Linked DNA regions of Danio rerio. The protein of the gene in region 2 binds, or shares a complex with, the protein of the main gene of each other region. Links are inferred from orthologs where the notes say so. Each region holds a gene or a part of one and is shown on either strand. Other genes may lie near its edges.

What was found.
Region 1: eif3ja (region 2) and eif3eb share a complex: the UniProt entries of both Homo sapiens proteins name them as parts of the eukaryotic translation initiation factor 3 (eIF-3) complex. The link is inferred for Danio rerio from reciprocal best matches to the Homo sapiens genes EIF3J and EIF3E.

The regions. Positions count from the first base shown.
Region 1 is NC_133194.1:25,034,062-25,049,654, forward strand, and holds part of eif3eb (eukaryotic translation initiation factor 3 subunit E-B), read right to left. Parts: intron 12,185-15,593; coding exon 12,075-12,184; intron 8,056-12,074; coding exon 7,953-8,055; intron 344-7,952; coding exon 209-343; intron 1-208. UniProt on the Homo sapiens protein: Component of the eukaryotic translation initiation factor 3 (eIF-3) complex, which is required for several steps in the initiation of protein synthesis.
Region 2 is NC_133200.1:34,320,168-34,336,374, forward strand, and holds eif3ja (eukaryotic translation initiation factor 3 subunit J-A), read right to left. Parts: upstream 8,197-16,207; 5' UTR 8,105-8,196; coding exon 8,083-8,104; intron 7,946-8,082; coding exon 7,857-7,945; intron 7,387-7,856; coding exon 7,329-7,386; intron 6,085-7,328; coding exon 5,993-6,084; intron 5,584-5,992; coding exon 5,466-5,583; intron 5,377-5,465; coding exon 5,212-5,376; intron 5,127-5,211; coding exon 5,053-5,126; intron 2,441-5,052; coding exon 2,309-2,440; 3' UTR 1,353-2,308; downstream 1-1,352. UniProt on the Homo sapiens protein: Component of the eukaryotic translation initiation factor 3 (eIF-3) complex, which is required for several steps in the initiation of protein synthesis.

The DNA.
Region 1 (15,593 bases), on a different chromosome or scaffold from region 2:
CATAACTCTTCCATATGAGAAAGTCAGAATTGCAAAATGTTGACCCCCTATTGTAAGTTTTAAACTAATAATTCACTGAACTGTCAGAATTCAATTGTTGCAGCCTATAAACTCAATTGTGAGAAGCATTTAAAATATCGAGGTAAGAAATGCTCATTATTTCTGCCCATCTTACACACAGTGTGTTTAGTTTGCTAGAGTCTGGTACCTCATTTCTGTTGCTGTGGCTGATCTTCTTCTCGATATTCATGGCCAACATCTGACTGCGGAACGACAGGCTCTTGGTCTTCTCGATCACCTGCTGATACGGCGACACTGCGTTGTTGCCCATCACCACATGACCCTAACCACAAAACATTTGTGAGAAGCAGAGAACAGTATAAAAGCCCCAGTATACTTCAAACAAAATAAAAGAATGAACTGTTGCTACATTATTTCCGAACAAAATCCAACTGAAAACAAGTTTATAAAGTTAGTTATCACACCTCGAAACAGATCAATAAAGCAAACTTTTGTTTTGGATCCTAAACACTACCATTGGCCTGTGGTGATTATACAGTCAGTGGGTGTGTTCTGGAACTCTGCCTTCTATGTGCTATATCTTCACCCCAATTGGTTTCTTATTCCACAGTGGTCAGACAGGAGAACAACATTCCTAGCCATATGAACATTGAAGAAGAGTGTAGTAGAGATGATGCAAAATGATCTGCACCTGTATGATCATTCAAAGAGAGATTTTAAAGGCACAGTGGGGGCACACACCAGACGAGTATCCAAACTTGTCTACCCACATTAGAGGTCTGCATTTCTGCGGCTGTACCGTGGGAGCTGCAGGACCGACCAGTTTTCTTGCTGCGCGGGAATAAATTTCCAGACAACACGCCGTTGCTGTCAGGAACTCTGGTGTAATTTGAACGGGAGCGGGCAGTCTAACAATATAGCGCTCCAGAGAGAGAGAGACAGAAAGCGCGCGCGTGTATCCTGTGGGTGTGTGTGTGTGTGTGGGAGGAGAATGAGAGAGAGCACTACTGCTTTGCACTACTGCCCTTTTTGCACTTGTTTGTATGCAGCTACACTGCACTGCTTTGGCAATACTAATGTCCAGCTATTTGTCATACCAATAAAGCACCTAAATGTTAATGTGAGAGCGCGCACATCTTCCATGGTGCTCTGTGTGTGTGTGTGTGTGTGTGTATATAAAAGAGAGCATGCGCATCTGCTGTGTGTCGCTTGTCATAGGCTGACTGGACTCTGTAGCATCCAGCTGGGTGTTTTTAATTGCTATACATTCTTTCGTGGCCCAATATGTACCTGCTACGTGTGTAGAAATAATGCTGATATGATATATGAAACACAAAACCTCTCCACACGTCACGCGGCACTCATGTATGAAGGTAAATCAGTTGCGTAACTCGAGAGCTTGCAAATGTAAATGTGAGCACTTGTGATAATAATATTTGTATGTGTAGGTTGAAATGTACACTTACAGCTCTGATGTGAACAGCTGAATCCCTCGATTTGCACACACACACAACAATCCACACACTTGTGTTTTAAATTGGAAGTTGCAGATTAATAGTTGTGTATTTGTAAAATGTAATTTACAAATACAAAATGACAGACACACGTGTGCACGGCAAATTTGATTGCATCTTATCTCTACAACCACAGGTCGGCACTCACAACCTCTCAGTTTTATCAGTACAACTACAAATCTCCCGCGCTCTGACTATTGCTACACATCTCCCGCGATCTCTGTAGCAGAACTCATCTGTGCACTGGCAGATGCAGAGGCGTGAGCAGCGCGGGGCGGGGGAGGGGCGGGGCAGGTGTAAAGCTGTTTGATTGGCTGATGCCTGACCAATGAACAATGCCAGCAGCCAACAGGACTGAGGTGCAAAAGAATCATTTCCCACGATTATTTTATTATTTAGGGTTTATTTCAACTCTTTTCTGAAGAGATTCTTGTTAAAAATCATTAATTTTGCGGAAATGTACATACCAGTAAAAGAGCAGCAAAGCCAGTTTATTGGCTAGAGCCAGCCAATGAGATGGGGCGTTTCTGTTTGTCAGCAGGGCAGCTCACGTTGTTGGAGGCCTCGAGCAATCAGAGGGTAAGTTATGATTTTTAATAATTATCTATATGTTCAATACTGTTAGCTAAGCTAAGGACTGTGCTAGGTGCTTCTCTAGTTTGTTTTTTTATATAAGAAACAGTTATGAGTTATCTAGGAGCTGCTTTCAATCATGTTATATGGTTCTAAAGATACGATTCAACCCACATGAAATAAGTTGTAATAGTATTTTAGTAAATAAGTAAATAATATTATAGTAAATAATATTACGTTTTTGAACCATACTAACTATAGTAAACTGTATTATATTGTATATACTGCAGTATCTACAACTTTGTTAATGAATGCAACAGCACACTGTAGTATTAACTAGCATGAACTTTAATAAATTGAAGTATATATATATATATATATATATATATATATATATATATATATATATATATATATATATATATATATATATATAGCTTAAATTTGATAAGATTGAAATATAGCTATTTGTTTAAAACTAAACATTCTAATGTCATTTATTATGCAAATATCAAGTTGAAACAAATCTGTTAAGAACACGTATTTATATGTAAAACCTAATACATTTTAAAGCAGTTTCATTTCTTTCTGATTTATACATCTACATCCATTACATCTGATTTAGGTCCACAACTTGCATCCTTCAACATGATATGTGTGTTCAAAGGAAGAGCAACTAGGTGAGGGAGACAGTGTCCATCGCTCGGCTGAGGGTCCACTTTGAGCATCTCATCTGCAGGGTTAAGCAACATAAGCTGAACAGTCATCATCTCTCTCTATTACAGCGAGCTTTACATCAACCAGCTTTACACAATGGCTTGCTTTTTGCCCATTACTAAAGGTTTGAGCAAAGGATTAAAGAGGAGATAACATTTGATGGGTAATGATGAAGTTGGATTTACCACCTCCATCTCATTATGAACAAGGAAAAACCCTGAAATATTTCAATACAAGTAACTAGACATTTGCACTGCACTTATTTGCACTGTAAATTTTATTTCACAAATTAATGTTAAACATTTCCCTTACAGCACAGGTGTCAAACTCAGTTCCTGGAGGGCTGCAGCTTTGCAAAGTTTAGTTATAACCCTAATTAAACACACCTGATCAAACTAACTGAGTCCTTCAGGTTTGTTTGACACTTTCACTTAAGTGTGTTGAAGCAGGGTTGAAACTAAAAACGTGCAGGGTTACGGCCCTCCAGGAACTAAGTTTGACAGCCCTACTTTACAGTAAAGTGTAAAAATACTACATTAAACAATTAGCAAAATAAAAGTTGTGTGTTGGTGAGTTTATGTTTTGTTTAAATCTGTAATCATCTTGGCAGGTAAAAAGAGAAAACAAATGGTCGGCTTCCTCTTGAATGATCTGAATCATTTTGAAGTGTTTGTAGATGAGCTGGATCATCATGTCATCTTTAGCATAAATAACATCCTATTCAAGCTATGCAGCTTCTCTGAGTTCCTCATCGACTTGAAACATGCTGATCTCTCCTGTCACTCCATCCTTACAGGAAACTGAGAAATAACCTATAGTTAGTAACTTTCATAATTAAAAAAGTGAAATAAAGGACACACTGTACACAAACATGTAAATAGATAGATGGATAGATAGATATGATGCAGGTTATTATAACAAAAACCGGTATAATCAGTGAGAAACTGAAACGCCTAGTGTTATTTTTAATTGCTATTAATGTGTGTGTAAATATACTTTAATTTATTAAAGTTCATGTTAGTTAATACTACAGTGTGCTGTTGCATTCATTAACAAAGTTGTAGATACTGCAATATATACAATATAATACAGTTTACTATAGTTAGTATGGTTCAAAAACGTAATATTATTTACTATAAATACTATTACAACTTATTTCATGTGGGTTGAATCGGATCTTTAGAACGATATAACATGATTGAAAGCAGCTCCTAGATAACTCAAAACTGTTTCTTATATAAAAAAACAAACTAGAGAAGCACCTAGCACAGTCCTTAGCTTAGCTAACAGTATTGAACATATAGATAATTATTAAAAAATCATAACTTACCCTCTGATTGCTCGAGGCCTCCAACAACGTGAGCTGCCCTGCTGACAAACAGAAACGCCCCATCTCATTGGCTGGCTCTAGCCAATAAACTGGCTTTGCTGCTCTTTTACTGGTATGTACATTTCCGCAAAATTAATGATTTTTAACAAGAATCTCTTCAGAAAAGAGTTGAAATAAACCCTAAATAATAAAATAATCGTGGGAAATGATTCTTTTGCACCTCAGTCCTGTTGGCTGCTGGCATTGTTCATTGGTCAGGCATCAGCCAATCAAACAGCTTTACACCTGCCCCGCCCCTCCCCCGCCCCGCGCTGCTCACGCCTCTGCATCTGCGAGTGCACAGATGAGTTCTGCTACAGAGATCGCGGGAGATGTGTAGCAAAAGTCAGAGCGCGGGAGATTTGTAGTTGTACTGACAAAACTGAGAGGTTGTGAGTGCCGACCTGTGGTTGTAGAGATAAGATGCAATCAAATTTGCCGTGCACACGTGTGTCTGTCATTTTGTATTTGTAAATGACATTTTACAAATACACAACTATTAATCTGCAACTTCTAATTTAAAACACAAGTGTGTGGATTGTTGTGTGTGTGTGCAAATCGAGGGATTCAGCTGTTCACATCAGAGCTGTAAGTGTACATTTCAACCTACACATACAAATATTATTATCACAAGTGCTCACATTTACATTTGCAAGCTCTCGAGTTACGCAACTGATTTACCTTCATACTCATGTCTCATCACAGAGAGGCAAACAAAACTGACATTTAGCCTACAATTCTTTCACAACACACTCTGTTATTTGTTATCTCTCTCTTTTGGTAGTGCCCAATTTTAACATGAAATTTTGCAAATCAGATCTAAATTTAGCGGAAACAGTCAAGTTGGGCAGCGGGTAAACAAAGACTGAATATACGGTGGGAATATACTTAACCTTTTATTATGCTGTTCAATAATTATAAAAAAATTTATAATAATGCTATTTTTTATTATCATCAAATATTACATTTGAATATATTTTAATCATTTAAAATACAAAAAGAAAAAAAATGAATGAATGAATGAATGAATGATATTGCGATTCCATCATTATATTTATATATATTTTAATTATTTATTATGCTGTTTAATATATATATATATATATATATATATATATATATATATATATATATATATATATATATATATATATATATATATATATATATATATATATGGCTTAGTCCTTTTATTAATCTGGGGTTGCCACAGCGGAATGAACCACCAACTTATTCAGCACGTGTTTAACACAGTGGATGCCCTTCCAGCCGCAACCCATCACCGGTAACACCCATACATCCTCATTCACAAAAATACACTATGGACAATTTTGCTAACCCAATTGACCCTTTGTTAAGCCCCGCCTTCCTTAGTTTCTGTTGCTACGCCTGTCAAGCTTTCATGCCTGGCATGACTTTTACAATGTGTTTGCGCCGGTGTCAGACATTGCCAGAGATACAATGTCATTTTTGGCGAACAGGTGAGATATCCGAGAAAGCCAGACAAAAAGAACTGCAGTATGCATTACAGGGGTATATTTACGACATAATAGGCAACCGATTAGAAAATAATTCAATCAAAATTAAAGCTAAATTAGCCTAGCCGCCTCATATGCTGACCATTTGATAGTTTAACTCATGCTCAGCAGGAGAGGTGAAATTGAAAATAATCTAATAATAACAAATTAAACCATGATTTCTCTACTTTTAACCAAAAAGTCTGATAGATTAAATGTTTTGCAATGAAAAAATAGCGCAGCTTACCGATGAGGAAACACGCATGGACAGTGCTTCTACATCTTTCATTCATAGAAAGAACAGCCAGAATGGCCAAATATTAGCATCATTGACCCATAACAATGTACAGTAAGTTACCTATTACTGTCAGTATGTTTGTGTGCTTTTTATAAATTAATGAAAAACAGCTGGGGGTAAAGTATATTGATCACAAGTGCTCAGTTTGTGATCTTATCTCGGTTTTGTTTGTTGATTTGTAATTTCAAATATTCGTAGCTTGAAACAGATGGAAATATGAAGTTCAGAAAAGTTAGTAACAGATTCGCAGATTCATATTTGCCGGATCAATAACTCATGTCATTATGACCTATTTGCCATTAGTATGACTAAGTTACTATGGCGAAGGCTTAAACGGAGCATTACTCATAATATTGAGCGAAAAAGAAAAAGACAGCTGTGAAACATAACCTGCTTTGTGTTTTTGTAGGAAACAGTTGAGATCTGTTAGAGGTGTTTGAGCTATTTTTGTCGATCTATCACTATATGTCAGGAATATCAAAACAAAACTAACCTAACTCTGCTCCTTTAGTGCATCTCACAGAGCTTGATCCACGCTGGCAATTTCCTCTTGGGTTTTTGGTTTTGAAAAGGGAAAAATTACACCATCCTGTCCAAACTTTAAGGATACCGAGTATCAGATTTGCACAATCCATATGCAAAACGCTTTGGTCTGTTTCCCTCGAAAGCTTGACAGAGCCCCTGTATGTAGCTACGGTTGCTAAGCCACGATTCATGGATGGCGGTTTTTGGGTGAGGCTTTACGAAGGGTCAATTCACCTGTACCCAATGTCTTTGGACTGTGGGTAAAACCAGGGCACCCGGAGGAACATCATGGACACGGGGAACACAGAAACGCCACCTGACCCAGCCGAGGCTCAAACCATCGACCTTCTTGCTTTGAGGCAACAGCACTACCTACTGCGCCACCGCATCACCATATATTTATATTTATTTTTATGAATACACACACAATATTGCCAATCCTTATCCAATGTCATCAAACATTTTATTTATATATATTTTAAACTTATATTGTTCATTAAAATAATAATTACCAAAATAATAACAATAATGCCATTCTTTAATTTTTTTTTATTTTTAAATATCATTTCATGATGAATTTAGACACTTTTACCAATATAAAAGTATTGATTTAGCACTATTTAAAAAATAAATAAATAAATAAAATTATATTTCTAATAGGGCTGCACAATATATTGTTTTAACATCACAATCGCAATGTGTGCATCCGCAATAGTCAAATCGCAAGATATGCAATGTTGAGTTGACTTTGCAGTGTATTTTTTACACTTCAATATACAAAACCATAAAGCATGCACTGTTTATCTCATTTTTATCTTTGCATTATTGCATTTATGTGTGCTTGTAGTTTGTTTATTACATTTTATGCATGATTCGCTCCCCTATTGGGATGACAGAATCAGCCGAATCAATCAAAATGAATATCTTTGGTAACACTTTAAGGATGAATTCTCACTATTAACTAGCTATTATTAGCACTTATAATTTACAGTACATATTCTACATGATCTTATTCTACATTTCTAACTCAATACCTAAACTACCTTAATTTCCTATATTAATAGTATTATAAAGAAACATATTCAACAAGTCATATTTAATGGTTTGCTAATAGCAAGAATTCAACCTTAAAATAAATTGTGATTAAAAACTTTTCAAATAGTGCTACTCAATCATTTGGTGAAATTGCATAGATACAGTATATCGCAATATATATTGCAGAAAAAAAAATATTGCAATGTCAGATTATTCCAATATCGTGTAGCCCTAATTTCTATAACAAATTTACCATAGGCTTATTTTTCCTTGGTAAAATAAAATTGTTTGTGGGCTCTTTAACTGTCAGAGAGAGTCCAGAGCATCTCAAACTAAAGGGCTTTGTGTTTGGACATGTGTTGTGCACCCCAGAGCTCACTCACCAGTTTGGAGTCGATTTTGGCATCCAGTCTGGCATTGCGGATTAAGTTTACGATCCATCTCTCGGCCTCCTCAGGGGTCATATTCAGCTTATCTGCCAACATGCTGCCCGGAGACAGGAAGAGCGATGGATGAGAGAGAGAAGGAGAAATACAGACACTGCCTAAGGTCAACAACGAGATGAAGCTCTTTGTGTTCAAACAAGCGCTCAAACTCTCGGAGCAGAAAATCCATTGGAGTGATAAACACAAACTAATGACATGAATTAGGATGCACCACCATATCTATGACTACATGTGAAGACAGCGGGGTATTTAAAAAGTCTAACAAAATAAAAAATGTGGCTCAAATAGTGCTGTTCAAACACTCATATCACTCCAAACCCCACAATTTTTTTAATTATATTTTGAGAACGCAAATTAAGAAATTGAGACATCTGTTCACTAAATGGAAAGTCTTTAAATATTTTAGATTTGCTTTCATTTTCTGTTGCATCTATTTCTCCTAGATTTAGATTCTTATTGTTATTATTATTAGGGACCGAGCATCGGTGATGCATAGACCCTATTGGAATTGTTCTGTTTATTATCCTTATATTATTATTCTGTTCAGGAATTAATTGCATTTTTGAGAGTCTAAACATGCCCAAAAACTTGCACACACATCAGAAGTACAGAAAATTTACTTATGATAAAGGTTTCGGAAGTGGGTGTGGCATTATAGCTTGACAGATTCACCTATAAAAATGTCAACAAAGTGCCCTACGAGCTACATTTCACATACACATACGAAAATTGGCACACATCAAACATGTCAATACCTACAAAAAGTCTTTTGAATCGAAAACCGAAAGCCAACAGGAAGTCAAATATTTTTAACTTCCTCCGCACTTTTTGCCATTTCCAGACATTGCACATTAACAAATTCCTCCAAGGGATATTATCAGATCATCAACAATATAGGGCATTATCATCTAAAGGCCTTGGCGATATATAATTGTGAAGATCCAGAGTTTTCGTCGAAGGGTGTGTCAGTGGTGTTCTCACAAACTTTGATGTTTCGCAACGAAAGAGGAAGTTATAACTCAGGCATGCATTGTCTGATTTTCCTAAAAATCCACACATTTGATAAGAGTCTCTACCTGAGCACGTTTACATGCCAATATCCAGTTACAGTAATAGCGCCACCTGCTGGCAACAGGAAATTACATGTTTTACACTGTAACAAACTCAGATCGAATTCAAATACCATTAATCTAATCCAAAGACCTTTGTGATGTGAAATTGTAAAGATCTAGTTTCCGTTGAAGGGCCTGTCCATGGCAGACCGACGAAATTCAGAGTATTGCTATTGAAGAGGAATTACTTATAAAAGTTAATATAGACTTCTGCGTCAAGCATGCACATTTCCTCTAGTGCAGCCTGTGAGCAGACGCATAGCCCTCACCATGGCTAACGCGCACCTCTTCAAAAATGTAACTACACAAACAGCACACAGAAGTATAAGTGCACAACTACACGGAAGGCAGGGTGGGTCACGCTGACCACTCAACATAGAAGTATAAACCAGCCTTAAATCAGCCACACGGACACTGCCTGAAAATTCACAGGTTCAATGGGATTCCTCTCCTGAAGACATTTACATGCCAATATTGAGTCATAGTCATAGCGTAACCTGCTGACAGAACAAAGTTTGGCATAAACGGGTGATTTTCTCAAGTTTATTTTTTAGATGTTCATTCATTCATTCATTTTCTTTTCGGTTTAGTCTCTTTATTAATCTGGAGTCGCCACAGTGGAATGAACCGACAAATTATCCGGCATATATTTTTCGCAGCACATGCCCTGCCAGCTGCAACCCATCACTGGGAAACATTTATACACACCCATTCACACACATACACTACAGACAATTTAGCTTACCCAATTCACCTATAGCGCATGTCTTTGGAAACTGGAGCACCCAGAGGAAACCCACGCGAACACAAGGAGAACCTAAATACTCCACACAAAATAGAACTACACACCTCACTGCTCAAGCTTGATGCGCTGCTCTGTTACTGATGTAAAGCCCCGGTTGTGAACATGCACACCGAAAAAATAGCAATGCTGATTTTGCGCCTCTCATGCTTACCGGCATAACAGTCTTTTATGCGGAGATGTCGGCACACTGTTAGTTTTGCAAGTTGACAAAACAGAGTTTAAATTATATGATGATCCTATTTAGACTAAGCATGGCTCCTGATAAATGTTTTCTATGAAGCAAAAGGAGGGACAGTAGCTATGTTTCCATCCAAAAATGAGAATGAACTTTATGCTCAAAACTGCATTATCGCATAAAAGTTGTGCGAATGAAGCACCGTTTCCATCCAACGAGTCAAAGCGAACAAAATCGTCACTTCCCGATTAACTGGCGCCAAATATCAACAGTAAAAACTGCATTTGCTGCAGTAGGAGAAGCTGCATCAATCTTTTCTAAATGAATGCGCCTCAGAAGACAATCCTGACATGCAGTGAGCGCGCAGTGGCGTTTGAAGGTGTCAGACGCGGAGCACAGGCGGTCATGATTCTGGAGGTCATTAATAATATAATAACACTAAAACTGAAACGGTAAGGCGTTTTATAATGACCAAAACAACATTTTAGATGTTTTATAATGTGCTCAGCCTGATGTTTTGTCCATTCACAAACATTTTAAGCTTCACATGATCTCTTTTAACAAAATCACATGACCTTTTTTAATAATTAAATTAATTTAATAAATAAAAAGTTTATCCTACCCAGTTAGGCGCATAAGTTTTTTATGCGCATTTTCAAAATTTATGCGCATCATGGCGTTTCCATCAACTGTTTTTTTTATGCGCATTTGCAAATGGAAACATAGCTAATGAGTAAGGGAGGTAAGACTTAATAAACCTAATTCTCAGCCATGAGTCTAAAGCAGGTCGCACACCAGAAGCGCCGCTCGGCGGCGCGCCGCACAGCGCCACGCAGCACCATGTATTTTAGAATTCTAAACATAGGTTTCTATCAGGATACACACACCGGCGCCGCAAGTCGGCGGCGCCCGGCGACGGCTCAGGACGCAGTTCATTTTTCAGCCGCGCCACAGAGCGCCATCTGATTAGTTTCATGTTAAATATCATTCGAATGTGCGCGTCTGGTGTGCGATACTTTAAACTGTCATGTACGCGCCGTGTCGCGGCGCCGAGCGGCGCTTCTGGTGTGCGACCTGCTTAAGACAACAGATAATTCCATAAAACATTTTTTTTGCATTATAGAGAATTGCCTTCTATAGAATTTCATTCACATTAAATTAATACTCTTGTAAAAAATTCTTAAATGATTTTAAAATCAATCCAGTTTTTACTTTAGATTTTTTCAATTACATTTAGGATTAATTTCTGTTATTTATTTAGAATAATAATTGTATAATAACAAAAAATACTGTTATTCATTTAGAATAATATATAATTTATTTGTTTTATTTAAAAAATAATAAAATTATATATTTTTTTTAGGAAGAGCTGTGCCCCAGTACAGCTTTATGTCTAGCAATGCCCCTGTATTAAACCCATTAGTTTATATGGATGTATTATTTAGATGTCTTAACAGGCATTTGGGTGTTCAGTAAGACAGCAATCACTCAAATTTCATTAAATTAAAAATAGCTTCACTAAAGAAAAGCAAATAACTTATGGGTCTGGAATAATATGAGAGTGAATAAATATAAAAAAATTTTTGGAATATAATAAACCTAAAATAGCTTAAATTAAACTATTCCTGAACTACAATGCTAAATATAATATGACTTATATAGACTTAACTTTGTAGACAAACAAAAAATTAAAAAGTAACTAAATTTCCACTAAAATAAAAACATAAAAATACAAAGAAGTATTCTCTCAATTACATAATAATATGCCAGCCGTACTATCATCTATCTCCATCTCACTCTCCATCCAGCTGATTCTTCAGAATGTACAGCATTGTGAGGTCTCTCGGTTTTTGTCAGACTTGGCTGGAGTCCGCTGATCCTGGCATTGCAGTGAATCCTCACAGCATGCTACGCTCTTTTTACAGCATAAGAGGATTAGCACACACTAGTCTATCAGGCGGCGCTACCTGATGCTGATGCACTGATGGATTCGGCAGAACGTCTCAAAGATGAACAGCCGAGCGTTTTCAATGAAGTCCTCCAAGCAAGCAACCAGGAAGAAGTCATTTACCAGCACCTTCAAAACAGAAAAAAACTCCATTAACAATCGTTTGGAAGTTGAGCAAGTATTGTTGATGATCTACCGAAAAGCACAGAGCCTATTTTTTTTTTTTTTTAACCAGCCAGTCTAAAACTTAATTTATTAATAAATAACCTTTTTAACACGAGTAATTTTGGTCACACTTAACAATAAGTTTTTTTTTTGTAGTTAATTTATTTACTAATAGGAATTAAGAATGAACAATACCTTTACAGCATTAATTAATCTTAGTTCAGCCAAATTCATGCTTGTTATCAGTAGTTAATGCATTGCGAGATAACATGAATTAACAATGAACAACTGTATTTTCATTAATCACCATTAACTAATTAACAAATACTGTGATAATTGTTTTTTTCATTGTTTGTTCATGTTAGTAAATGCATTAACTAAAATTAACTAATACAAACTTATTGGATAATTGTTTATGCAGAAAAAAATCTTAAATATGTTATTAAATACCTTTTATATAGCATTTTTTATACAAAAAAATAAGACTCTTTAAACTTTAACAGTATAGAGTGTAATTTGTGCACACAAATAGCACAAATTAATAGAAAAACTGGCGAGGCAGTGGCGCAGTAGGTAGTGCTGTCACCTCACAGCAAGAGGGTCACTTGGTCGCTGGTTCGAGCCTCAGCTCAGTTGGCGTTTCTGTGTGGAGTTTGCATGTTCTCCCTGCCTTCGCGTGGGTTTCCTCCGGGTGCTCCGGTTTCCCCCACAGTCCAAAGACATGCATTACAGGTGAATCGGGTAGGCTAAATTGTCCATAGTGTATGAATGTGTGTGTGGATGTGTGTGGATGTTTCCCAGAGATGGATGGGTTGCGGCTGGAAGGGCATCCGCTGTGTAAAAACATGCTGGATAAGTTGGCGGTTCATTCCGCTGTGGCGACCCCGAATTAATAAAGGGACTAAGCCGACAAGAAAATGAATGAATGAATAATAGAAAAACTTAACTAAGATTGCTGGACACAACAGCATTTAATAGTTATTAACATTGATTATGAGTTACAAATAATAACTAACATCCATTCAAGAGAAAAGTGCCTATAGAAAATCATATTGTGTGAAAATCTATGTTAACCCACATTACACCCTGCTTTCATAAGAAATTTGCAAAAGTGTTGTAGAAAAGCACAGGTTAGGAGAAGGCTACAAAAATATTTCAAAGGCTGGATAAGTTATTTGGAATGTAATCTGATTTCAGGCTATATGACAAATACAGATTTTTACAGATTTTCTATAGCCACTCACTGTATATAATGTTATATAATGAGTGTGTATACTACCATTCAAAAGCTCATTAAAATGTACCTATTGATGGATTGATTGATTTCCTTTCAATATTTTTTTTTTTCAGTTTTTGATGGTCTCATAGTCAAAATGGCTGTATTTATATCTATTTAAGTAAACAACGTACATTTGTGAACTATTATTACATTTCATATTTTAATATATTCAAAAATGTGATGTGTCCTCCGCTGATAGCAAAAAATAAAGTAGCATTGGTCGAATTCAATTAACAAACTTAAGCTTAAATTAAATGTTTTTGTGACTGTGTTTTTTTTCAAAACTTGTATTAATCCTCTCAGTTTATATGGATGTATAATTTAGATTTATTTGAAAGCACTTTGGGCATTTAATAGAGAAACCAAAATCATTTAGATTTAATTCTAAATATCTTTACTGAAGATAAATAAATATAAATTTAAATTCCGGGCTGCACTAAACCTAAAATAGCTAAAACTAAACTTTCTTTATGCCAGACTAAACTAAACAAATCTAATTCAGATTTTTACTTAAATAAAAACCTAAAAATAAAACAAATAGCATCTCAATTACAGCGTATAAAAATGCACTATTCTGTTAAAGGGTCACAAAACCCTAAAACACATTTTTAGAGATGTTGACAGACATATATACACAGTTGAAGTCAGAATTATTAGCCCCCTTTGAATTTTTCTTTTTTTTTTATATATTTCCCAAATGACGTTTAACAGAGCAAGGAAATTTTCACAGTATGTCTGATAATATTTTTTCTTCTGGGGAAAGTCTTATTTGTTTTAATTTGGCTAGAATAAAAGCAGTTTTATTTTTTTTAAACACCATTTTATGGACTAAATGATTAGCACCTTTAACCTATATATTTTCTCAATAGTCTACAGAACAAACCCTCGTTATACAATAACTTGCCTAATTACCCTAACCTGCCTAGTTAACCTAATTAACCTAGTAAAGCCTTTAAATGTCACATTAAGCTGTATAGAAGTGTCTTAAAAAATATCAAGGGAAATATTATTTACTGTCATCATGGCAAAGATAAAATAAATCAGTTATTAGAAATGAGTTATTAAAACTATAATGTTTAGAAATGTGTTGAAAAAATCTTCTTTCCATTGAAAAGAAATTAGGGATACAAATAAACAGGGAGACTAATAATTCAGGGGGGCAAATAATTCTGACTTCAACTGTATGTCCCACATTGCTATAAACACTATTAGGACACACATATTTCCATGACAAGTGAAAATTGAGAATTTGTTTTGTGCAAATTCGTTCTTCCGGTTCAAATCAAATTTTATATACACAAATCCCTCAAGCGTAAAACTGAGCCGGTAGTGTAAAAGACAGAGTAGATTATGTTTTCACAGGTCTGAATGCTGAACGCTCCCTCTGGCCCAACTAGGCCACGTCTCAGAAAGGAGACGAGCTGCCTCATAGCTGTAGGTCTGAACACTGACAGCAGAAATGCTCTAAAAAGCCCAGAGGGAAACCGCGGTAAATTACAGTAGACAGGGATTTGCAGTGGATGAATAGACCTATGGCTGCAAGGAAAAGGATGAGAATTCCTCTCAACATACATCCACGACTGCTTCAAACAGGACAGATCCAGTGTATTATGGGAATCACATGAATGACAATGTTTGTAGCTGAGCAATTTCATGCAAATGTCAACTTCACTATGAAAAAAAAAAAAAATCTTTCACTAAAATAGTGAAACTCTTTCTAGGCTTTATGAGTAAGAAATACCAATTAGTGTGATTTACCAAAGTCACACATGTGCCCATTTCACATTGGTCATATCCAGGGCCAGACGGAATCAGCGGACATTTTTTGCTATTTCTGCAAAGAATTATGGTAAAAATCTGTGAATTTCTGCGGAATTATTTTGGAAGTATCCAGCTGAGTTTCATAACTAAAACCTTAATAAATTAAATAAAAAGTAATAAATTACTGAATAAAAACTGAATAAATTCAGATGTACACATTTACTAAAGTAAATAAACAGAATTAATAGTGGGTTAAAAATCTGCGAAATTCTGTGGAAAATCTGCGGCAAATCTGCGGAATTCTGCGCGCGCAGATTCCGTGTGGGCCAAGTC
Region 2 (16,207 bases):
ACCAATATCAAAATGCTTTTGTAAACATCAAGTTATTATTTACACCGATTAAAAAACGGCGACTATAATAAAGAAAATCTTTTCTAAATGTAGAACTAAATACATTGAAATACATGATGAATACCCTTGACACATGAAAATGTAAAGCCTGCAGCTCACAACAAATGTGGAAGGTTATTGCGTGTCATAGTTAACAAACGTTTTACCTCTAATTTGATGTAATTTTGCTCACATGGATAATTGAACATTAATCAGTTGATGTCATCACGCTGCCGTCAGCCAATCGCTGCATTGCTGATCATGATTTCGATGATCGATAGTTCTTTCCTTCACAACACATCCAGTGATCTCAGATCAGTTCATCCAGACATTCTAATCTGATTCGCGAGTTTGAAGAACCAAATTAGCCAGAGGTCAGTTATCGAGATGAAAAGATCCAGGATCTGCCAAATCATCTTAGATCATTTAAGCGAGGTAAGAAGAACGGACCCCAACTCATTCATGTAGTAATACAACAACAGTAATATAAACAAATTACTCATTTACTGCTGTTTTTACACTTAAGGTAAGCTACATTACAACCACCGATGACTGTAGTAAAATCCAAGGTATTTACATTCATCATATACCCACTGGTCCAGTTCCAAGCAGGGATCGAACCAGCAATTCCTGCATGAGAGTGGAATGCTCTAAAGAGGAGGCTAAATCATTTACTAAGTACAAAAGTACAATTATTAAGCACATTTTAAATGTGGTTATAAGTCAAGAATAGAGCATTTGTAGCTGCAGTTATAAACTGCTTACTAACGTTTATTAATGCTTAACAGATAATGAATTCACTATTTGCTGATGCTTAATAAATGATTTATAGTGCGTAGTTATTATAAAGTGTTACCGAAATGTTTTGTAACTTTAATAAAGATTAACTAATATACAATAAAGACTATGCATAGTTGATTATTTAATACCTGAAAACTATCATTCACTTTTATCTCTACTATACGTTATTGATCTATGTTTGTAATTTATTTGTTATATATTATTCGAGATTCCTTTTAAATCATCTGATGAAATTGTATTCACATCATAATATATAAATCACAGAAATTCAAAATACCGTAATGTCAGATTTTTCCAATATCGCGTAGCCCTAATTCAAGTTTACAGATATTTGTTCAACTAATTTCCATGACTTTTCCAAAACTTCTCCAGGCCTGGAAATTGCCATGTCAAAGCTCCATGACTTTTCCAGGTTTTCCATGACCGTATAAACCCTGTCTCTAGCCCTCAGAAAGAATCTACAAGCTCTAAAAATACACTACCAAAAAAAGCAAAGAACACACAACCACTGCTGGATTTTAAGCAACTTTTATTAAATTAGATCTTTATAAAACAGTGCAGAGTCCTATCATCGGCTTTGCTGATCGTAAGCCTCTATGAAGCATCTCTACCACGCTGCGAATTGTCAATAAAATGGAAAGCCAAACGCCGGCTGAAAAGACCCTACATCGACGTTCAGTCCCTTATACATCAGCATAGCGTGTGTGTGAAATCACGCTAGCATGGCTGAGCTCAAATGAACCACGGCATAATGTTATATCTGTAAATATTTGCGTAATTCACTCTGCAAAAATTGAGGTAATCCAAATACCGCTGCGACGAAAACAAATCAGAGTAATGCTTTTGGTCTGAGACACATGGAATGCATTACGAGCTACAAACGTAAAGGCGTTATTGTCAATGCGTTATGCTCACGTTAATTACGCTACACTCTAGATTGACTTATCTAAATGAGCTCACTATAGCCTACGATCAAAATAAACGTGATTGTACACATGATTTAGAAACCACGTGACTTCGATATCAACATTTCGGGTTGAGTTAATCGCCCTGGTTTGCAAAAAGGAACATCCCGTAGACAAATAAAGGGTTAATGTCGCGTAATGACATTGAGATCAATCCGGACTGAATTTTGCATAGCGTCATTTATTTCCTAGAAATACCGAACAATAACACTGTTTGTTTGTTTGTTTGTTTGTTTAAGCCAGGGCTGTGGGGATTAACTGATACTGCAGGTTCACATTTGTTTTATCGGGTTTATTATTCCAACCTAAAGTCACGACAGGCCAGAGGGAAAAGAGCGCAGTTTATTGGTACTCTCTGATGGGAAAGTGTGCATTGCGTGGATGACGTTCAGAGTTATTTAGCATGTTCTGGTTGTGGGCCTGACAGTGGGAGAAGGTCATGCTGTTAAGGTGTGTGTGGTTCAGCAATCAGCAAAAAAAGTTAGAGTTGGGTTAAGCCTTGGTCACATGAAGTCCTCATAGTCTTGTGCATAACCGCCTTCAAACCCGCCGTAATCTGCCAGATCGTCTTTCATCTTGGCTTTTAAACCTCCCCCTGGTAAAACTCCCTTCTTTTTCTTTTTACCTTTGTTTGCCTATAGAATAGGAGGAAAAAACAATTACGAACACATTTTATATTAAGGTACACAGTAATCTGTGTGGAGTTTGCATGTTCTCCCCTTGTTGGCGTGGGTTTCCCCCACAGTCCAAAGATACACGCTATAGGTGAATTGATTAGATTAAATTGGCCAAAATCAGTGTATGTGTGTGCATGTGTGACTTGGTGTTTCCCAGTGATGGGTTGCAGCTGGAAGGGCATCCGCTACATAAATCAAATGGAATAAGGGACAAAGCCGAAGGAAAATGATTGAATGGGACTTGCAGCACAGACAGTAAGTAAACCCTTTCACAAAATCGATTTCGTGGAATTGAATCGAACGGATTTGTTTGTGTGGATGGCCTTTGCATCCACGGTTCCGTCACTTGTTGAACAGGTGGCTCGAAATGCGGCTACCGATAAACAGCAAAACGGATGAACTTGGGACTGATGCTTTGCATCGAACATGCGCAATGTATACAAAAAACTCAACACAAGTAAAGAATTTGCCTGTCCGTGATGCTGGGGATACAAGCAGAGGAGCTGAACATGCACTGCTGCATGGGCCTCTGGCTATGATATTGCCGGTTGGGGGAATGTTTCTAATATAAGTCGCAAGCAGATGCCAGTATTAGCAAGTCATGAAACTGGACACCTCAGATGCAGTTCTAGACAAGTGTATCTGTCTGCAAGACAAGGTGTAACATGGAGGGGCGTAACTTGTAGTAAGTTAGAGAGGTGTAACTTACAGTCATCGAGATCCCATTGCGAGATGTAACAAGATGACAAAAATACTTAACAGAGAGCATTTTCATGAGCTTTCTCCGAATTGATCCACAACCTATTCATTTGATATATTATTACATTCATTTAGCAACTCCACCATGCAACTTACTCGCCGACTTCATCCGTTTTGTCATGACAGTACTCGGCATCGCCTTCTGTGGTTGCAAAAACAGTACAATGGCGAGCACATCAAATATGACAGTCTCCGCAACTCGCAGCTGTACGTTAATAACTGATGGTTGGGTTTAGGGAAGGTGTAAACGTTAATAATGATGATGATTGGGTTTAGGTGGGTATAGACGTTATTAACTGTGATGGCTGGGTTTAGGTGTGGAGTAGACATTAATAACTGATTGGTACATTTTGACATGTGGGTCTTCATAACTTCAAGTTATGCCTCTACCACAAGTTACGCCCCGGTCTTGCAGTCCACACACAGACCCTACTTCTTCTAGAAGATGGTGAAATTCATTAAGGTTTGTGCGCCTCTTTGTGGTGACATAAACCCAAACACAACAGCATTTTAGAGAATGTGTTTATATCCATGTCTATACTCACAGGATGTTCTTCACATCATTTGTGATGATAAAAACATTTGTGCGAATGAATGAAGACTATCGCACAAGTAATTTAGAGCGAATGAATTGAATGCTCTCTTTGCATTTAGTGTGAACACGACATTAGAGCTTCTATAGACCATTTTGACAAATGTAAACAAAAACCATTTTCCCAACGTATTTCCTGTTTTACATTTAGCTTTCGACAATCCAAAAAGAGCCACATGTTGATAGATGATGTTATGACAGCCGTTTTAACATGAACTTATGATTGAATTGCCTATAGTTATGAAATACTTTGATAACCAGCAGGAAATGTTTATGGGCGACTGATATGACCATATTGAAATGGTCTACATTTACCCTTTTAAACTAGATTTTAAAATTACCCAAAATTCCCATCACTAGACTTGATTCAATCTTTAGATGTGCTGCGTCTGAAACCGCATACTTCCAAACTATATAGTACGCTAAAATCAGTATGCAAACCGAGTAGTATGTCCGAATTCATAGAATTCGAAAATCAGTATGCGAGAAGTACCCGGATGACTTACTACTTCCGGCGAGATTCTAGAGTGCGCATCCCATGCATGCTGCGCTATCCAATGATGCCCCGCGAGCGAATTCATGAATGGGAGTAAAGCGACGCAACTGACGCAGGTAGGTCACGTGACCATGACAAAATGGCGGATGTAGTCTGTCCGAATTCCATTCATACTTTTCACGTTCATACTGTATAGAACGTACTTTTCTAACGGCCGAGTAGCACGTTTAAATTCAAATGCAGTACCTACTGAGTAGTAGGCGGTTTCGGACGCAGCCATGGTTTCTTTTCAAGTTACTCTCACATATGTCCCTTGTATGCAAATTGCAGACTTTACTGTCTACGTCTGCCTGAATTCATCATGTAATTTTCCCAGAAATCATTCACTATTTCCCTGGAGAGTACAAAATTGATAGGGAAGTGCTATGGCCGATACCGAAAGCTTGTCAGACATAGCGAAGGGTGAATTGCTTTGTTTGCCATTTTGAAAGAGAAATTCAATTAATCGCTAACTAAAACACGAACTTGGCAGCACTAGTTGGTGGTTTTAAATGGTGTGATTATTTATCTACACCAGGCCTAAAGCATCCAAGGTGTCAGCACACAAACTCAGCTAAGTAACGTTTAATAACACTTAAAAGAAAATAGCAAGATGTAATTTGTGAATATCATGCCTGATTATTTAGGAAATCTGGTAATTGTTGCATTAAATGGTTTTCATACCTTTTCTTGCCTCTGTTTTTCACTTAGTAACACTGTTAGTGAGGTGTTAATTTTCTTCAAGTCTTCAACTTCCACTGCAAAACCAATTCAAAATGTCAGCAAAATACATGATTTACAATGAGAATGACGGAACAGTCAGCTGAAATGAAGCATACTCACATGAAAGACACAGATCCCTAAACAGTGTTTCTAAAAAGCCGGAATAGTGTATAGACTTCTCATAGGGAGATATTTTTTCTTTTAGCAACCTCTCGAACTCTGTGAAGTCGTCTTTCGAAGAGGGACTTATTGCATCGATTCCGGTAACATTATTTGAAACTACACCTAAAAAGAGAGAATAAAAGTTCAGAATTGAATCTTTTATCCGTTTTAAAAACAAATGTAGATGCATGTTATATACAGAAAGCACTCACCAAATGCCTCTTTTGCTAGTTCTAAGTCTGAATCCTCCTGTAGTTGTTTCACTCTGAGTTTCTCTGCCAGTTCATCTTCTGGTGTGAGTGGTGTGTCTCTTTTTGTCTCCTCTAACTGCTTTAAAAATGTAATGTTGTATACATTTAATGAAAAATATTCTTACAAAATGAATAGCATTTACAATAATTGTTGTACTATAATATATTTTAAAATCTAATTTATTCCTGAAATGTCAAACTCAAAATCTCAGGATCATTATTGCAGTCACATGATCCTCATTCTAATATGATTTGCTGCTCATGAAACACTTATCATCAATGTTTTATAATCAGCTATATATTTTTTGTTAAAACTGTGATATATTTACCCCAAAATCCTTCATGAATGGTTATAGTTATAATACAAGTTCAAAGTTTGTAGCCATATCAAGATAAACTTCAACAGTGACAGCAAAATAAAAAAATAAAAACCCACAATGTGAATTAAATGTGCTTAATATCAATAAATTGTTACTGCGCCAACTTACTTGTTTTCTGAGCTCCTCTTGTTTTTTCCTTTGTAAATTTTCCTTTTCTTTTATCTTTTCACTGAGTTTCTTTTTTTCTGTAGGTTTAGCCTCTGCATATGAAAAATCCAAACAAAATCGCATACAAACGTTACAAACTGAAGTACCTGATCAGGGTTTCTGCAGGTTTCATCCATTCAAATGTAAGAGTTTTTAAGACCCCTTTAAGACATTAAGAATGACATTTTAGACTTATGCAGGGTTGAGATTTATCCTAATGGCCTGGTATTGTCCTGAGGAATTGAGTAATCATTTTTAGTTTTTTTTTCTCCTGATTAGGCCATTTAATTTGGGGAATTTTCTGTAAGAAATGGCTAACAGCTGTTGGGAATGTATCTTTTTGCAATAAAAAAAACTTTAATTTAAAAAATAAGGTTTTATTGAGACACATTGTGGATGATTGGATGGATTTCGGTTGAGTAACTTTACTTGGACAAAACAAAATTAAGACCTGTTTAAAATTATTTAAGACCTAAAACACAATATTTGAGTGAATTTAGGAGTTTTTAAGGCCTAAAATGTAGTTGAAATTTAAGACTATTTAAGACTTTTAGGACCCTGCAGATGCTTTGTAATTATGTGAATTTAAATGTGGATAATTTACAGTCTTTTAAAAAAATATTTTTAAAATAGTTTGTATATTCATGCATGTAGATTTATTTAGTTATAGAGCCAACTACAAAATAAAAAAATTCATAACAGACGTCCCATTTTGGTGTGCAGATATACACAGTTAGCATGTCAAATGAGATGATGTAATATTTCAAATATTATTTGTGAAAAAAGCATGTCGAAATATTGTGAAAAGGGTTTCTCGTCATTTAGTGTAATGTATACTTATTTTGACCTGTACTTAAAACAAATTAACTTAAACTTTATGAATTTTTAAAAGTATTAAAATCTATGGTAAATAGATACTAATAGATAAAACCTAGTAGTTCTAGTATTTCTCTTGGTTTCTCAATACTTTATTATTATTAAAAAAAAAATTTTTAAATAATTTTTGCTTTGTATAAAGTTAGTTTTATGTACTTTAAAAACTTGCTTTATAAGTAATTGAACTTGGTTTAAAGGACAAAGGCGAAATTACAAAGATTAAAAATGACAGTAAGTATTTTGAGGCTTCAACGTGATTGCTTAAATAGTTTAATATATCATCAAATTATTATTGTTCTTCACTGATAGCCTCATGGTCACTGCGCAACATATGCTTTGATGCTTCAAAATCCTTTTTGGCCTTTGACCCCATTTTATCCTAACAATGCACTTTTCCCCCAACTCATGAACATCACTGTACCTGTCTTTTTTTCCTCCTCTTCCTCCTTTTCTTCCTCTTCATCATCATCCCAATTATCCTAAATGGAAAGGAAGAATACTTTTAATTAATAAATTAGTCCACTTCATCTTCGTTGCTAGCCTAAGAGAAGCATTAACATTCTCAAACTTTCCTTTTATGAAATCTCCTTGGGATGATCCAATAATTTTAAATAATCAACAGGTGACAATCTACAGTGACATGCTGCTACAAAAGGCCATCTACACTAACAAAACTATTAATTGTAATTAAAGGCCTAGAGAAATGGAACTGACTCATATAATTACTATAATTTCACTGTTTAACTTATGACAGCGTATTTAAGCAGGTATACACCAAACTAAATAGACACGTATTAGGACTTATCACCACGTTGTTTTGACACTCTTGAGTTAGCAAGAGTAGCTAGCTAAAGTTAGCCAACTGTAATGTCTTGATATGTAGGGATTAAAGAAGAGTTAAAACAGTTTTTTTTACTTGAGAACGACAAATTAAGGGTTCGTTACTAACTTTCACGTCGTCGTCCTCATCCTCGCCCTCCCATTTGTCATGAACTGCCGCCTTTTTGATGGGCTCCTCAGGCTCGAAACTGTCCGCATCTGGAAAACGACCGATTGTTCAGACAGATCACTTAATGACAGGCGTATTTTTGGCGTACGTTTATCTGGTAGAAAAGATTATATGTTTCCAAGCGAATAGAAGAGAAAGATAACGGTGGAGTTTAAGAAATTCTCACCCCAAGAATCGGCGTCCGCCATGATGTCAGAGTCGCTGAGGGGAACGAGAGAGTGAAGCTCAACTCACTGCACCAAGACTTCCGGAAATTTCAAAATAAAGGTCCACCGATGGACGGTAGGGAAATTTTACAAACAAGTAAATTGTGCAGTACCATGAGGAATACCATTATCAGACATTGTTAATTTTTTTAACACACAATCAAATAAAATGTCGTTTTGTGGCTTTTAGATTGTGTATTAGTTCAAGACAATCATTTGTTTGCTAACTGTAACTTTTATTAGATTGTGTAGTGTGTGTGATCTAGTGCGGCTTCTAGAAAACAAACAAAAATATTGACTCATCCTGCACTACTGATTTTGTCCAATTAAATTGAGTATATGTACATTGACTTTTAAGATCTGAATTCTTTTTTTTAATGTGATCTTTACTTCCTGATTGATATATGAAATAAAGTTGGTCTAGACTGGACAAGAAGTACTGCATTAAGTTGATTTCTTGCGTTATGTCTTTAAAATATGGAAATGTATTTTCTGTGGAGTTTCTGCACTAGCACGCTTCTACTGATGACACTTGCGTTTACGCAATCGTTCATCTCGTTTTACACTTAAACAACTTAATAAATGATTAAGTCTATTAAACTGATTGTATTTCAATTACATTACAACATCGATGCTATTAAAGGAACCTTATAGACGAATTACCATGTTTTTAAACATTCAGGATGCGCGCGCAGGGAGTGGCAGAAAAAAAAGGGGAGCGCTAGCATTTACAGCGAGGGAATGACATCCGATGCGGAGTTTGTTGACTTAGAAGTAAGTTATACTGATTACATATTATATATATATATATATATATATATATATATATATATATATATATATATATATATATATATATATATTATTATATATATATATAAATATATATATATATATATATATATATATATATATATATATATATATATATATATATATATTATTTTTTTTAATATATATATATATATATATGCATGATTTACATAATGCTTTCAACGTATTATAACAGCTTGTCACCCAGTGATAAGTACAGTGATTTGGCAAAATTAACGTTAAAGTGAGTGATGTGAGTCGCGAAAGCACCCTCCCAATGAATATTGGATAAGACGAAATGGCCAAGCATCCTGCCCCAAATATACAACTCTCTCATCGAAGCTCCAAGTGTTTTAACAAGATTAAGAAATAAGTGTAAGAAATAATGTTCCATGATTACCAGATTCAAAACTATGTAGTGCTAAAAACAGAGGTTCTGCTTGGCCAAAGACAAGGAAAGCAGACGGAGCCAACGTTAACTTACACATAGAGGTAAAGTTGGTTTTATATTCACACATTCTGACTTTCTCCTTAATAATATAATTTTATAAAAGTATTATTTGCAAACTCTAAATAGCAAAATCATATTAGCCGCCAATGACTATTGAAGTAGAACATTGCTCACAGTCAAATAAACAGTGCTAATGTTGTTTTCAAGTCACACTTGCAGCTTTTTCAGATCGAATATTCAAAGTGCCGTGGTAAACAATATAGGGAGTGTGTCACAAGTTGTCACTAAATGAATATGTGAATATAAAAACCAACTTTATCTTAATAACTTACACTTTCACGTATTATTCTTAGCATTCAGTGTTCGCAGTTTAATTAACCATGTTTAACTGTTTATGCTGAAATCATTGCTGCAATCACAAACGAGTAATTTGCATGATTCAGCATTGCGTAAACTTGATATAACATGAGAACTGCAGAGTCCAGCATTTCTAATTAGGTTGTCACTTCATTCAGCTCCCTTTTAGCCAAAGATGTCGGCAGTTAGCATTAAAAGCAGTGTGGTGTACGGTAAATGTTAAGTTTTCTATTTTTAAACTTTAAAATTTGGCATCTGCACAACACAAACATGTTTACTATAGCCACTATATATAGTCTCTTTTTGCAACTGGGAACCCGTGTGACGTCATGTGTGACGTAGGTTGGTAATTCGTCTATAGGCACATAAACCTTTTACCAAAAGTTTATCATTGGCTGAAATCACTAGCTGTGCATACAGCCCATTCTCACTAGAAATCGCTCCACAATTTAACCTTAGTATTTTTTTTTTGCAATTGTCAGGGGGTGAACTATGGTGATTTCAATAGGAATCCATGAAGTCAGGAATTTTGTATGATGGCAAAGATTTCTTCATGCAGGTTCAATTGGTTATGCCTCGTTGACTGCTTTGCTTATAAGCTTAGCTTGAAAGTAATTTATACATTGTTACTACTATAAAACAAGACATATTTTGCCTGTAGAATTTTGCAGCAGTCTTGCTAATGTGACCACACCACTCAAAAGCAGCAACCGAGTGCTGTCCATGACCACAACATGTCCTTTGCATTGATTACCCATTGTTACTACAAATAAGACCAACAGCCACAAAAACGTATTCATTGTAGTTAAACATGGCAACCGCAAGTCAACCATTCTTTTTCTACACAAACCACAGTTTAATCTTGGTATTTGGCCTAATAAAAACAAAAGTTAATAAACGTTCCAAAAACCAGTAGATCTTTAACAAATCGTCGGCGCCAATAGCCTAGTGGTTAGTGCGTCGACACATAACACCGAGCTGCTCGCAGCGACCCGAGTTCTATTCCTATCTCGAGGTCCTTTGCTGATCCATTCCCTATCTCTGCTCCCCACACTTTACTGTCTCTATATCTCCACTGTCTAATCCACAGGTGTCAAACTCTGTTCCAAAAGGGCCGCAGCTCTGCACAGTTTAGTTCCAACCCTAATTGAACACACCTGATCAAACTAATTGAGTCCTTCAGGCTTGTTTGAAACCTACAGGTAAGTTTGTTGGAGCAGGGTTGGAACAAAACTGTGCTGGGCTTCGGCCCTCCAGGGATTGAGTTTGACACCCCTGGTCTAATCAATAAAGGTGAAAACCCCTAAAAAATAATTATATAAAAAAAAGATCTTTAACAAAACATTCTTTTGTAACCCTTACAAACACTATTGTTTTATTCATGTTAATATGCAGTTACTTTATATAGAGCACTATTTGAGGTAGCAGCCATTTGTAACGGTCTCCAAAATCAAATTGGACATTATCGAGTGCACTCAATAATGTCAATTAGCACAGGAATGAGCCACTAAATACTGTCAATACCGCTTCTAGTGCACTCAGAGTGTCTGAATTTGCTCACTTGTTTTTCATTTATTCATTTTTCATTCATTCATTTTCTTGTCACATAGTAATACACTAACAAAAGTAAGCAGGAAACCACACAGACTTTGAATCTTTCTGCCAGTTTGTCTGCAACCTTTTTCCACACGTTAAGAGTCGGGGCTCTAGCTTTATTTATTGGGTGTTGAAAGTTCTAACAATACTATATCATGAAACTGAAATGCACTGCCGAATAAATAAAGAATGCGGAGGAAGCCATCTTTGCGCAATTATCTTTTTTACAGCTGTCAGTCCTGCCAACCAGACCTTTCTTTGTCGCTCTGTCAAACCCATACTGGAATTATCATTTAAAAGTAGCACATATGGTTGCACTGGTATATCTTTTCCTATATTCATTCATTCATTTTCTTGTCGGCTTAGTCCCTTTATTAATCTGGGGTCACCAACTTTTCCAGCACATTTTGGCACAGCGGATGCTCTTCCAGCCGCAACCCATCTCTGGGAAACATCCACACGCACTCTTAAACACACACACACTCATAGACTACGGACAATTTAGCCAACCCAATTCACCTGTACCGCATGTCTTTGGACTGTGGGGGAAACCCACGCAAACGCAGGGAGAACATGCAAACTCCACACAGAAATGCCAACTTAGCCAAGGCTCGAACCAGCGACCCAGCGACCTTCTTGCTGTGAGGCAACAGCACTACCTACTGCGCCACTACGTCGCCATCTTTTCCTATAATTTCAGATAATAATCATGACGTTTTTTCCAAAACTCATACACTTTTTCTCCTTCCCACAGCATATGTATAAATGTTCCAACCTGTTGGTGAGAACAAAAACTGCAATTGGGACTTGAGGATAACTTAAAAAGAAAAATACTCTTCATTTATTGATCTTCAAGTAATTCCACACCTTTGTGAGTTTCTTTCTTCTGTTAAAAATGGAAATATTTCGACAAAAGCTGAACCTGCAACCATTGACCTCAAAAGGAAAACAAATACCGGGAGGTGAATATAATTTCCAAATATATTATTTTGTGCTTAACAGAAGAAAGAAAATCATAAAGGTCGGAAACAAGTAAATGGTGAGTGACTGAGCAAGTTTGGGTGACACGGTGGCTTAGTTGTTAGCACTGTCGCCTCACAAAAAGAAGGTCGCTGGTTCGAGTCTCGGATGGGTCAGTTGGCATTTCTGTGTGGAGTTTGCATGTTCTCACTGTTTTGGTGTGGGTTTTCTCTAGGCGCTCCAATTTCCCCCACAGAATTGAATAAACTTGGCCGTAGTGTATGCGTGTGAATGAGTGTGTATGGATGTTTCCCAGTGGTGGGTTGCAGCTGGAAGGGCATCCGTTGATAAGTTATGATAAGTATTATGAATAAAGGGACTAAGCTGAAGCAAAATGAATAAATAAATGAGCGAAATTTCATTTTGGGGTGAAGCTGGACTCCTTTTAAGAGACAGATTTGTCTTTTCAAATTATTTAAATTTTTTAAGATGCTAATTTGGTGGTATTCCCACCAAATAAAACATCTGTTTGCTTGTTTTTTGAGAAAAAAATCTAAATAATAAATTTCTACTACCAGATGCCCTGGTGTTGGACTGTCTCTTTAAAAAAAAACTAATAAAGCGCCTCACTGTCCCGGGATGCTGAGGGTGTGTGTGCGTGTGTGTGTAAGCTACATCCACGTTCCTCAGCATCCGTGGTTCATGAAAGACATGTCCTGACATTTGCTTTGTAAATACGTGAGCAATACAACGACAAACACTTCTTTCCTTGAGCAACGCCGAACTGGCTCCGGTAAGCACTTGTTCGTTTTAATAGGCTATCGTCGGTATTAAAGTAGGATATGTAAACGCTTCGATTTTCTGTTAGTTTTATTTTAGCCTGCAGTATAAGGACAGAATGTACAGAATGCTAATGCTCGAAATCACCTCATATTATTGCCGATGTGAGTGAGTGCACATTTTAAGCGCGTGCACATGCATGTGGCGTCTCAATGACGCGAAAACGGCGACGTATCTTCATGTTCTCTGGATATAAAGCAAGCTAATGTTTCTTGAGGTGTTGTGTGGACAAACATGAGGTTTCTCCGTGATTTACGTGTTATCAGCCGTGTTAGTTATTCATTTGGGCTGTGAAGAATCCGGGTCGATGGATGTTGCAGTAATTCAGTCTCGAGATCACTGGAAGAATGGATTGTGACGTCAGAACTACTGGATATGAGGTTATTTTGGTACTGAAGGAGGTATATATATATATATATATATATATATATATATATATATATATATATATATATATATATATATATATATATTAGATAGATAGATAGATAGATTGAAACAGAACTGAATGTGTTTTGTGAAGCTGTTAGGGCATATCTGTGTGTTAAAATATTTATACAATTTGGTCACATGATGAAATACTATAGCAATTTATAGTAAACACTATAGTGTTTTTGAACCATAATGTAGTGAAATGGATTTTACTGTATATATTTTAGTATTTATTTACAACTTTGTTAATGAATGCTACAGATAAAGTGACCTGTTAAACTCCGTTTAATCTACTCTAACTCAGCTGTGGTATATTGTAGTATAATATACTGTACATTCATTCATTCATTCATTTTCCTTTCGGCTTAGTCCCTTTATTAATCCGTGGTCGCCACTGCGGAATGAACCGCCAACTTATCCAGCACGTTTTACACAGCGGATGCCCTTCCAGCCGCAACCCATCTCTGGGAAACATCCACACTCATTCACACACACTCATACACTAAGGACAATTTAGCCTACCCAATTCACCTGTACCGCATATCTTTGGACTGTGGGGGAAACCGGAGCACCTGGAGGAAACCCACGCGAACGCTGGGAGAACATGCAAACTCCACACAGAAACGTCTTGCTGTGAGGCGACAGCACTATCTACTGCGCCACTGCATCGCCCAGCATAATATCCAGTTGTAGGTAATTTAGCTGTTGGGTAATTTCATTATATTACTATAGTTGTTGTATTACAATTGCAAATATCGAATAACTACAACAGATTAATTCAAGTAATTCACTATAGTATGAATCAAAAAGACCACAAAAACAAAACTCATAAATTGTTGTCGTTTTTTTTTTTTTTTAAATTGGTAAACATGGTTTTATTATAGTAAATACGTTTTTTTTTTATAGTGTATCTTGGCACGTTGACTACCGATTTGTTTAACCACAGTTTTATTACCAATACCATGGTTAAATTGGTTACCTGGCTGAAAAAAATTAATAGAAACCAACACAGAAGTTCTAATAATAGTTCTTTTGTTATAGTTTTAACAGTTGTAATGTAAATTATATTGGTTTTAATAGAAACTGTATCGGTTCAGTGGGACTAGTGATATTATTTTACCTTCTAATAAAATATATGAGCAATATCACATGAGTAGCAGTGCGATAAGGCTGTATATCAGCACTGGTGGGAGGCGTGCGCTGCCTTAGCGTCCCACCAGTGTTTATATACAGCCATATCGCACTGCTACGAGTGTGATATTGTGTTTATACAACAGTTCAACGTCACGATCCTGTATATAAATAAGAAAATCCAACACGGAAAGTCTAAAACCCTTTTTTTATTAGAAACTACTTTCTTCCGCCATACATTCTCATCTGCAGCTGACGTCAAAACAGCAAAAGCCTTTACTAATTCACCAACGTCACTTTAGAGCTAGTGTTTGAATGACTCTGTCTAAAGTAATGAAAAAACTGCTGATTTTGCTTACACTTTAAGATTATAAGGCTGAATGTGGCATGAAATACCATCCATCTACAGAGATATCTTCTTACAGTGTTACAGTCTACATTATTTCTCTGTTGCAATCGGGATATCGCAATAATTAACCCCGGAAATAACAACGAACCCACTAACGTTACCAGACTGCTGTTGTGTTTGCGATAAGAAAAAACGCTAAACACGTGCAGACTTTGCTTATTTCAATCTGCCAACACAACACACATTCCTGATATGCGAGCAAATCGGTATAAAAAAACGATTGCACTGTTCTTGCAAATAAACTGCATAGTTGCAATCTAAACAACTACATTCTCGACTAAAAAAGCCTCAAATGTATATTTTGTTGTGTAACAGCAGTAATATTTGTCAAACTGTTGTGTCTGCTTGTTGCTGGCTGTTTGTGGGCGGAGTAATACACAAAGGGTAAAGAGGTTGTACGGATGCTGATAGTACGGCTATCAGCCAATCAGATTCGAGATCCAGACAGAACTGTTGTATAAATCCTAATAATGGAATACATGGAATAAATCCTAAAAATGGAATACATCCCAAAACTAATTATACCATTTCAATAGTTAACATTTGGCTAGTATTTAATGTTTTTAATGGTAGATATAGGAAAGTGGAAACCATTAGCATAGTCTGTAATGGTTTCTAATGTTTGTTTTTTTGTTTAGCATGCAGTGCTACTATAGTTAAAGCAAATTAACCATAGGTTTGGAACATTAATAGTATTTGTAATACAACTGTAGTCGTGCAAATATAAAGAAATGCCAATAAATAATTGTAACTACACAATTACTATAATAAAAGCAAGGTTAATTTTTGTAAAGATAAACCAGCATAAACTGTATTAATTTCACATGTGTTTGTTTGTTTTTTATATATAAAAACCAGCTTATGGACCAGCTGAACACCAGCTTGACCAGGCAGTGCTGCACATCACTGTGGCTCTTGTACAGCATTAAGGTTTTTTAGCAGGGAAGTGTCCAGACTAAAGCATTTACATTTAGATGAGACAGCAACTCCCGGCAGGTCCAAGGGTTGCACCATGTCTGACAGCTTGTGCATTGGTGTAATTGTCCTTTATTAGGTGTGAACACATCCTTGTGTTGTTCTTTTGTTTTGATATAAT